2 linked regions of the Drosophila melanogaster genome follow. Changing the gene in region 1 together with any one later gene gives a genetic interaction. Each region holds a gene or a part of one and is shown in the gene's direction. Other genes may lie near its edges. The genes, in order: Or67d and ATP8B.

Region 1 (3,826 bases):
AATGATTAGCGCAACTTGGTCTATAATTTATGAAAAAAACTTATGAATATGGTCAATCACTGGCATTATTTATAATAAGAAGCCAAGAGCTATTTTCTGTTATGAGCCTACTATTAAGTTCATATCAAGAGATTACTTGTGGGTAAACTATACTACTCAGTTTATACAAAATTAACTAATAAACGTTATTTTTTAATAGGGAATTCAATTTTTTTTAAATTTATTTACTAGCAATTATACATGCGCAATATCAAACAAAGAGATCACCAATCTTTCATTGCATCTACTAAAAATTGCAGTGTATACAGTGGCGCCCACTGGCGGGCGGTGGCCTCGGAATGCCACGCACTTTCCACTGGAAGAAGTTTTTTGTTCGGCTGGAAATAAGCGAGCGTGAGACAGCCCACCTTTTATTTTTTTTTCCATTGAGGGTTGATAGAGTGAGGAACAGGGACAGAGTGAGAAAGAGAGAGATAGAGATTGATTATAGAGGAGGGGAGTACGAATACCTGGTATTTCCTAACTAACGAGCAAGTAATTTTGTGGGCCAACTGAGATGCCTGGCAGGGTCTTTAATGTTTCCTTGGCTACTTAAAGCCCCTGTTGTCTTGGCCTTTTGCCCATATTAAGTATACGCCACGATGGCGAGGTAGTAAGTGGGGGTGGCGCTTTCGATTATTTTTCCAGGGGGTAGGCCTGTGAGGGTCGTTTCTTTTTTTTTTGGCCACACCTTCCATTCTCGCAGGGGTGACTAAGCAGGGAATATGTATATTTTTTTTTCTGCGTGCGCCGAGCGTTCGCTTTTACTTTTGTTTGCTCGGATTTTCGATCGAAAAAAAAATATATAGAATAAACGAAAAAATAAAATGAAATAAAAGCGAAATGAGGAAGAACGAAATTTGTTTCGCTGCCGCTTTATGAAATGTCAAAACTTCAAAGCGAACCCAACTTAAATGCAAGAAAATGAGAAAATATTCACTTGAGTGCGTATGCGCTGTCGACACTGGCATTCTCATCCTGTTTTCCTGATTTCGTGCCCATTGTCCTGTCGTCCTTGTTGCTGTTGCTCTGCCTGTTGTTGTTTGCGATGCTGGTGCTGTTTGAACTGTTGTTGATAGCCTTTATTAGTTGTTGGCCGAAAGCTTAGGCGCTTACGCATTTCCCCCCACATTCTGCTTCCTGTCCCGAAATTTTCACGTCAAGACTTGTGCGCTCCGCAAATAGATATAATTTTAAGCTCCCCTAACAGCTCACGTTTCCCTTCTTTTTTTTTCACTCGTAGTCCACTTTTTTCCCGGGCAGCAAATTTTATTAAAAAATTTTATATTAAATCAATTGCGTGGAGATTTTCTCCTTATATTGTGTTTTCTGGTCGGGGTGGCAGATGTGCTCATGCAAAAAGTTGTTTGGCTGGGAGGCAATTTACGATGGGGAAAAACAAAATGCGATTCATTTCTTATTAAATCAATGAAGAACATAAAGTTCCTAGACTTATATCTTTTATTTTCATAAAAGAAATATACCATTGAGAACACTAATGGAAAATATATTTAATGCTGAGTGTAATTGCACTTTATTCAGATATCGACCGCCCTTGAATATTAATTATTTACAATAGATTCTTTAGCTAAATGCCGCAATTATAACGTCAATATTATGACATTAATTGCCAGCTTGGAAGCTCTATAAAAGCAGGATTATTTTGACAATTAAAAAACAGTTCTCCTTTAAGTTGCATAGCTAACAAACAATGTTGAAAATGGCAAAAGTTGAGCCTGTAGAGCGCTATTGTAAAGTCATTCGAATGATTCGCTTTTGCGTGGGATTTTGCGGAAACGATGTGGCAGATCCCAATTTTCGGATGTGGTGGCTCACCTACGCTGTGATGGCAGCCATTGCCTTCTTCTTCGCCTGTACAGGATATACAATTTATGTGGGAGTGGTCATCAATGGAGACCTCACCATAATCCTACAGGCATTGGCCATGGTCGGCTCCGCCGTTCAGGGACTTACTAAACTTTTGGTAACCGCCAATAATGCTTCTCACATGCGAGAAGTTCAGAATACCTACGAGGATATCTATAGGTCAGAGTTTGGTTTTAACAAAAGCAACAACTTGTTCAATTCCAATATATAAATTAATTTTCTATTGACATATTCAACAATATAATTATTTATTTTACAACATTTTCATATTTTTCCGCAGAGAATACGGATCTAAGGGAGATGAATATGCTAAATGCTTGGAGAAGCGAATCCGCATTACATGGACTCTTTTAATCGGCTTCATGCTCGTCTACATTATTCTTTTGGGCCTTGTAATCACCTTTCCCATATTCTACTTGCTGATTCTGCACCAAAAGGTATTGGTCATGCAATTTCTAATACCATTCCTCGATCACACAACAGATGGTGGTCACCTAATACTCACGGCTGCTCATGTGATTTTAATTACATTCGGTGGATTTGGTAACTACGGAGGGGATATGTACCTATTTCTTTTCGTTACCCATGTGCCGTTAATCAAGGACATATTCTGTGTGAAGCTTACGGAATTTAACGAGTTGGTTATGAAAAGGAATGATTTTCCAAAAGTGAGAGCCATGCTTTGCGACCTGTTGGTCTGGCATCAGCTGTATACTAGGTAATTAGCTAAACGAAATAATTAATACTTATATTTATAGTATTTTGTACATATATATTTGCGTTTATGCAGAATGCTTCAAACCACCAAGAAGATCTATTCCATAGTCTTGTTCGTTCAACTTTCCACAACTTGCGTAGGTCTTCTCTGTACCATATCTTGCATCTTTATGAAAGCCTGGCCCGCAGCTCCTCTTTACCTTTTATATGCCGCCATAACTCTCTACACCTTTTGCGGCTTGGGTACTTTAGTAGAAAATTCAGTAAGTAATTTAGTTGTTATTTAAGAAACTGTAATCATTTTATGCCTTTCAGAATGAGGATTTCCTAAGTGTGATCTACACGAATTGTTTGTGGTATGAGCTACCCGTTAAGGAGGAGAAACTTATTATCATGATGCTGGCCAAGGCTCAAAATGAAGTTGTACTCACTGCAGCCGACATGGCGCCTTTGTCGATGAACACAGCTTTGCAATTGACGAAAGGCATATATAGTTTCAGCATGATGTTGATGAACTATTTGGGATAAGAAAACAAAATATTTAATTAAAAGTCGCTCTTATTTTTAAACCATATTAATACAATACACACTTAATGAGCCAACTGAAAAAATGTGTAGATTAAAATATATTCATACATGCTTTGTAAAACTAACATTTATGGATACCATCAAATAGTTCTTTAATGGGTTTTGCATTTATCAGAACTATTACCTATTTTGACTAATTTAGAATTTCCGAGAATAGTCACAAAGTGGCTAAGCAATATTTAAGCCCTTTAACAAATGAGATTTCTTTGATCAAATCTCGTAAATCGCTAGGCAATTTGGCTCCCATTTTTAGCCATAGAAATATATACTATAAAAGTAATCCGCTGAAACTGCTGCTGAGCAAATGAGAGGAGTGAATTTGGATGGGGAGAGCGCTGATTAATTTTTGCTCTTTGTCTAATGAACTTGCCGCAACGGAATTTAATAAACAGACCCGCACTTTATGGGCCCACAAAAAATGATGTCTGCCAGGCCACAGACCATGAAAAATAGTAAAAACAGCAAAAAAAAAAGAGCAAGCATCGAAAGGAAAGGAAAAAACCCAGGCGATCCAAATGAGGGAAAAGTATGAAAAAGCATCGCTGGTAAGTTGTAAAAATTGTCTTTTAATGCCGTGCAAATCCAGCAGATTGCC
Region 2 (5,289 bases), on another chromosome or scaffold:
TTTTTTAATACTTGGTCATCCCCAATTCTATGATAAATGCAGACCCATATCTGTATTGGTAGATTTACCTTTGATACTAACAATTAAAACAAAATTAATGCGTTCAGCGATAGAACAAAACTCGACTTACGAATCAATAACCAGTATAAGCACGATGTCCGCTACAAATTGATTTTGCTCAAAGCCTTTGGCATTTCAGATTGGGAAATCTCGCTGCCTCGGGCAGCCAAAAAGTTGAACAGTTGTTACTGATTTCGGCCAGATAGTGACCCAGTTCTTTGGCGTTACTAAACCAATTGCAGGGAGAGACGACGCGGAACTCTGACAAAAAGCAGCCCGTTGCTCGATTTTGGCCCTGACACTATTCCGCAAAGGTACCGTTAGCCAATGGCCCAAACATGTGCATGTGTATGTGTGTTTGTATATGCGGGGGAGTCGAAGTGTGTATGTGTAAGTGCGTGAGTGCCTTGAGCTTGGTCAAAACGGCACTTCGATTTATTAGGCGCCTTGTTTCGGCCGCTCAATGAATGAAGTGAATGAATGCGAATTATTCCGATTCATGAGTAGGGGTGGGTACTTGTTGACTTGTAAGTGTGTGCACATAACTTTGTGTAATACACTAGTCAGCAAAATGTAGAATATGTCGTCATTTAAACACTTCATTCAGATAATTACAAAAAATATAATTTAAATTGCGGTGTATATGTGCGGTCGAATTAGTTTTTATACAAAATGATCAAAGATACAAACTAACCTTTTGATGTGAAACTAATCCAAGAGTGTCGAATCAGGAAAATTTGTAAAAATTTTTTATTGACTTGAGACAAGTGTCTTGACGACCCACCCAGCTTTAAAGTTGCCAAGTGAAGTTTGTGACCCTTAAACTCAATTTTGTTAAAGTTGTTTTACAAATAAAACAAATTGAGAAACTGCAAGGCGCCACAACTTATTTCTAACGAAAACGAAAGTAGGGAATGTTCAAGTAATATTGAACTATTTATAACTATAATGTTTGCAATTGCTTTTGATAATAATAAGACTATGTACTTATGTTCATATGTATGTTGTACATGAGCGACACGTAAAGTCTTCAAAGAATTCTGGGAATGCGAATCTGTGCCCACAATAACCGCAAAATAAACTTACACAATCCATCCTTTCGAAATTCATTATTTAATAGGAACTTGAATAATATGTACATTCAGCGTTTGGCGCTTCGCTGATTAAGTTTGCCTTGTTCCGAAAAAAAAAACGTAATGCAATGTGTACGGGGTGTGATTACCATTTCCCGCCCCCGGCAATCATTCATTAACCCATATGCGCCACTTCTTCAAGCGCCAATAATGTGCTTTTTTTGTTTTGACATTGACATTGCTGCTTTTTTGAATGAAAAGAGAGTAAGAGAGAGCACGCTTTCTCTTGCTTGTTCAATTCACGTGACAGAGCGAGGAAGAGCACCTCCAATTTGTTTGTCGACTCACTCGTTCTCTTTCAATTTGTTCCCTTGTTTTTTTTTCTTAGGGTGACTTACGAAATTTGCTCATTTTTATGCTTGACAAACTTGGGAAATTGTTGACAGATTTTTTGCCGCAACGAACGCGGTAATACTCTTTCGATTATCAATAATAAGTGATTAATTTGTAATATATATTTTGTTAAATTATTCTTTATTAGTATTAATATAAAAAAAATTAAAAAATCGTAGGATTAAATAAAATTATTAATACAGAATATAAACATTTTTAAATATATACGGCTCTATTTCCAACACCGCAAAACCATTAGGGTGGACCCTGATAGCATAATCGTTTATGTGAATATTACTCATACGACCCATAAGCCCATCAAAATACTTCAGCGATTGCACTGCGACCCTAAGGCAATCGATCAAGTCAGCTCGGGTCCCATTACTAGAGCTTTTTAAAAGATTTCTACGTTTCACGTTAATCCTCTTTTCAAAAAGCCAATTCTGAGAGTGGAAATTATCACCTATTGTGCTTTGAACCTTTGAACCACAGATCACTTGAGTTGGAATGATAAACTTTGGATATCGAAGCTTTTCCATAGCTCTCTTTTAAGACAAGCTGGTTTTAACCGTTTGCGCTTGAAGGTGTGCGTGAATCGGTTGCCAAGTCCGGTTGCCTTGGCAGCGCAGTCGGCAATTTGTTGTCATCGTTTTACTCGCATTTCGCTCAGCTGACGGCGTCGCAGTCGCCGTCGCTGTCGCCGTCTCGGTCGCCGTCGCCCATTTTGGCCGCAGTTTGCGCGCGGCAGTTGGCCATTTGGCTTTGGCGTTAGCCGTTTTTGTTTATCGCACTGCGGACCGCGTAGCACTTCGCGTTGCCTTGGGCCAATTAAGTGGAATATAACTCCCTGCTTTGCGAAAAACTCAAGTTGCAGTTTTAAAATAAGGTGTTTCCGCGTTTTCACAAAAAAATACGAGGAAAACTAATAAAAGGCAAAAAAAAATAAGCAACAAATGGAAAAATCAAACGCAAGCGGTGCAAAATAAGTGCAAGAAATGTGCTAAAAATGTACGAAGCTGGGTGGTTGGAGGAGAAGGAGGAGGAGGAGGAGCGATATAGGGGTAGAAGGGGAAGGGCCGAAGAGAGATCATGATGATGCATTTGGCACCTGGCACCGAAAACATGTTCCTCATTTGCCTCTGTTTTGTTGTGCTTTCTTTGCTCCCAGCATAATTATTGAGCATTCATCGATTCTTTTGGCCTTTTCTTGTAGTTAATTTGTTTTCACCCCTGCCCCTTGCAAACCCATCAAAGGTGACGCATGCGAGCGAAGGAAAAGCGAACAGCAAAAACAACTCAAGAAGGCGAAACAAATTGAGAGCAAGGAGCAAATTTACATTCACATGCATGACTCATGTTCGCAGCAGGATATCGTCGTTAAGGAGAGCGGAAGAGTGCATGGGAAAAGAGGGGGAGAGAGAGCGCGACAGAGCTTACCCGGCATTGTTGTTGCTACACAGGGAAAAAAGATAATATTAATATTAATATTATTTTAAAGGTTAAATGGAGATACATAAGTACTTAGATAAATATATGTTAAATTAATAAAAATGGGCTTCAAATAAAACCAGCCCAGAATACCTTATTCATACCACTCCAATTTCCTTAGTGTAGTTGAGAGAGTCCGCTTGGGAGAGGCATACAAAATAATGTGAGAGCGCCAATCAGCTGTAATTCGAAAACGGGCGGAAGTGGGGCCAAATTTTTTGCCGATTGCCTTTATTATCCTTAGCAAAGAGACAAAAACTTTGGACAGAACTTTTCGTCTCAGATTCAATTTCCGTTCTCCCTTACCGTTATGCCTTTCATATCCACCTTTTGCATGCATTCGCCGTGGCCTTGACAACAGTTTTGACATTGACACCCGCCTGCTTTCCACAATTATGAAAGGCAAGAGAGAGTAAAAAGAGCGAACTTTAGTTTGCTGCAGCTTCCTTTTCTTTGTTGCCCAAATAAAGGCCACTTGTTGAATGTGTAAAATGCTTACACACACGCACACACACTCACCCAGTAGAAGCTTTGTGACGCCAGAGCGACTTGCTTACTGCAGATTTGCTCAATCGAGCATAAGGCTGTAAAGTAAACATAAAGTAGTACACATGTCTGCGTATATTTGTAGTCGACTGCTCAACCATAATGCACCCAGATGTACTCACATGAAAATTCCGAGAAAATTCCAAGAAAGCAAGGTGAAAATGTTTGGCATGGATACTGGCAGTAAATACAGTGCGTGCTTTATAAAATGAACCATTAAAAGCAACGGCAAGGGAACCAGAAAGGCGATTCTTGAAAAGTTTTTTCTTGCAACTTAATATTGCCCCAATGATGATATCAAGCTTATGCTTATTATCAAGAACATTCAGATACTTTTCAAAGTTTTTTTAAATTGAAATCTTTCATACACCAGACCGTACAGCAACCAGTATAATTAAAAACCACTGAAAAGCAATTCCAAATTAATTACCAGTTTTTGTTACAATCGGTTTGTTTGAGTTTCAAATTAAAATCTCACACAATAAATAATTATTGTAAGAACTTTTAATTGAACTGCACCACAGCTATTGAACTATATTTGCCTTGTGGAGAACAAAAAAGGAATGACGGGGCATCAGCCAGTTTAGGACAACCTACAATGCTTTTTGGAAGCCAATCAAAAATTTTATTGATATAAATTGTGGGCTTAAAGGGTAAACTGTGTTTATGTTTAAGAAAAATCGATAGAACTATGAGAGCCTATTTATTTGGAATATTGTAACGCGAGTAAATTTTCCTTAATTGCTTTAAAATGTGGGTGTACATATATTTCGTGACGCATTCAGTCCCAAACTCAGTCCTAGTTAAAAATCTCAACAAGTATTTGATATACCCTTTGAAGACGATTCCCCCTGGGTATCCGAGAATCACAGAAGAAATTTGTTTATTTATTTATTGCCCAGACATATGCGTGCAAACACTCAATGTGTGAGGAGAATCGTTTCCAGCTGTCTGGGGCTCTTTGTCAATGGGAGGGGTAGCAGTCTATCAAAATGATGGATGGAACAGTCTTATTGAGCCAGCCCTCCAGGGAAGTTTGTTCGGTGCCGATGGGTTTTCAATTGCATTTTAATCTTTCGGGAGTTAGCAACACGTTAAACTTTCGATTTTCCTCGTAGAATGAAGAGTAATGCGGACGCCCCATATCGTTATTGTTCCACCTATAGCCTAAGCTGGTCATGATCGGGGGCAGGAGATGCAGCGAGGCCGCCCGGCGGCTAAGGAGGCGTCCTGACACTCTGGAACTTTCAGTTCTGGGGGGCCAACCTATCGAAACTGAACTCCAGGAGGACAATGAGCGGACCCCAACAAAGGGAGCCGGAAATGTGGATGAGCCCGGAATAGAAGCTCCTGAAGCTTCGTGCTCTGCGCCCAGCAAAAGAACCCGATGGTTTCAGTTCGCCAGGAGCTCCAAAAATCGAAGGAAACGATTGCACTGTAATGAAGATGAGGATGTTAAGCAGCCGGAAAGAAGGAATTCCGATTTGGAGGGCAGTCCGAGGGCTTGCCTCGCTCAACCGGAGGGCATGAATATAGGCAGCTCTACGCAAACCATTGCCACACCCCTAATGATAGGAGATAGCTTCTACAGCTTGGCGCCGGGAGGAGGCAATCCACCACCCAACAAATCCGATGACCAGGAACTGTATAAGCAGAGAGATCCTTCCGTGACCTCGGAGTCAAAGTCCGTGCCAAGTTTGAGACGTCTTTCCCAGATTAGAAGGCGTCG

What was found.
Region 2: of Or67d (region 1) and ATP8B, changing one suppresses a phenotype caused by changing the other (phenotypic suppression), as found in Drosophila melanogaster (one study listed by BioGRID).

Annotation. Positions count from the first base shown.
Region 1 is NT_037436.4:10,271,454-10,275,279, forward strand, and holds Or67d (odorant receptor 67d), read left to right. Parts: upstream 1-1,750; coding exon 1,751-2,085; intron 2,086-2,206; coding exon 2,207-2,644; intron 2,645-2,716; coding exon 2,717-2,906; intron 2,907-2,958; coding exon 2,959-3,171; downstream 3,172-3,826. UniProt on the Drosophila melanogaster protein: Plays a role in detection and sensitivity to pheromones and signal transduction of the fatty-acid-derived male pheromone 11-cis vaccenyl acetate (cVA).
Region 2 is NT_033777.3:12,076,926-12,082,214, reverse strand, and holds the start of ATP8B (ATPase 8B), read left to right. Parts: upstream 1-2,286; 5' UTR 2,287-2,534; intron 2,535-4,678; 5' UTR 4,679-4,738; coding exon 4,739-5,289.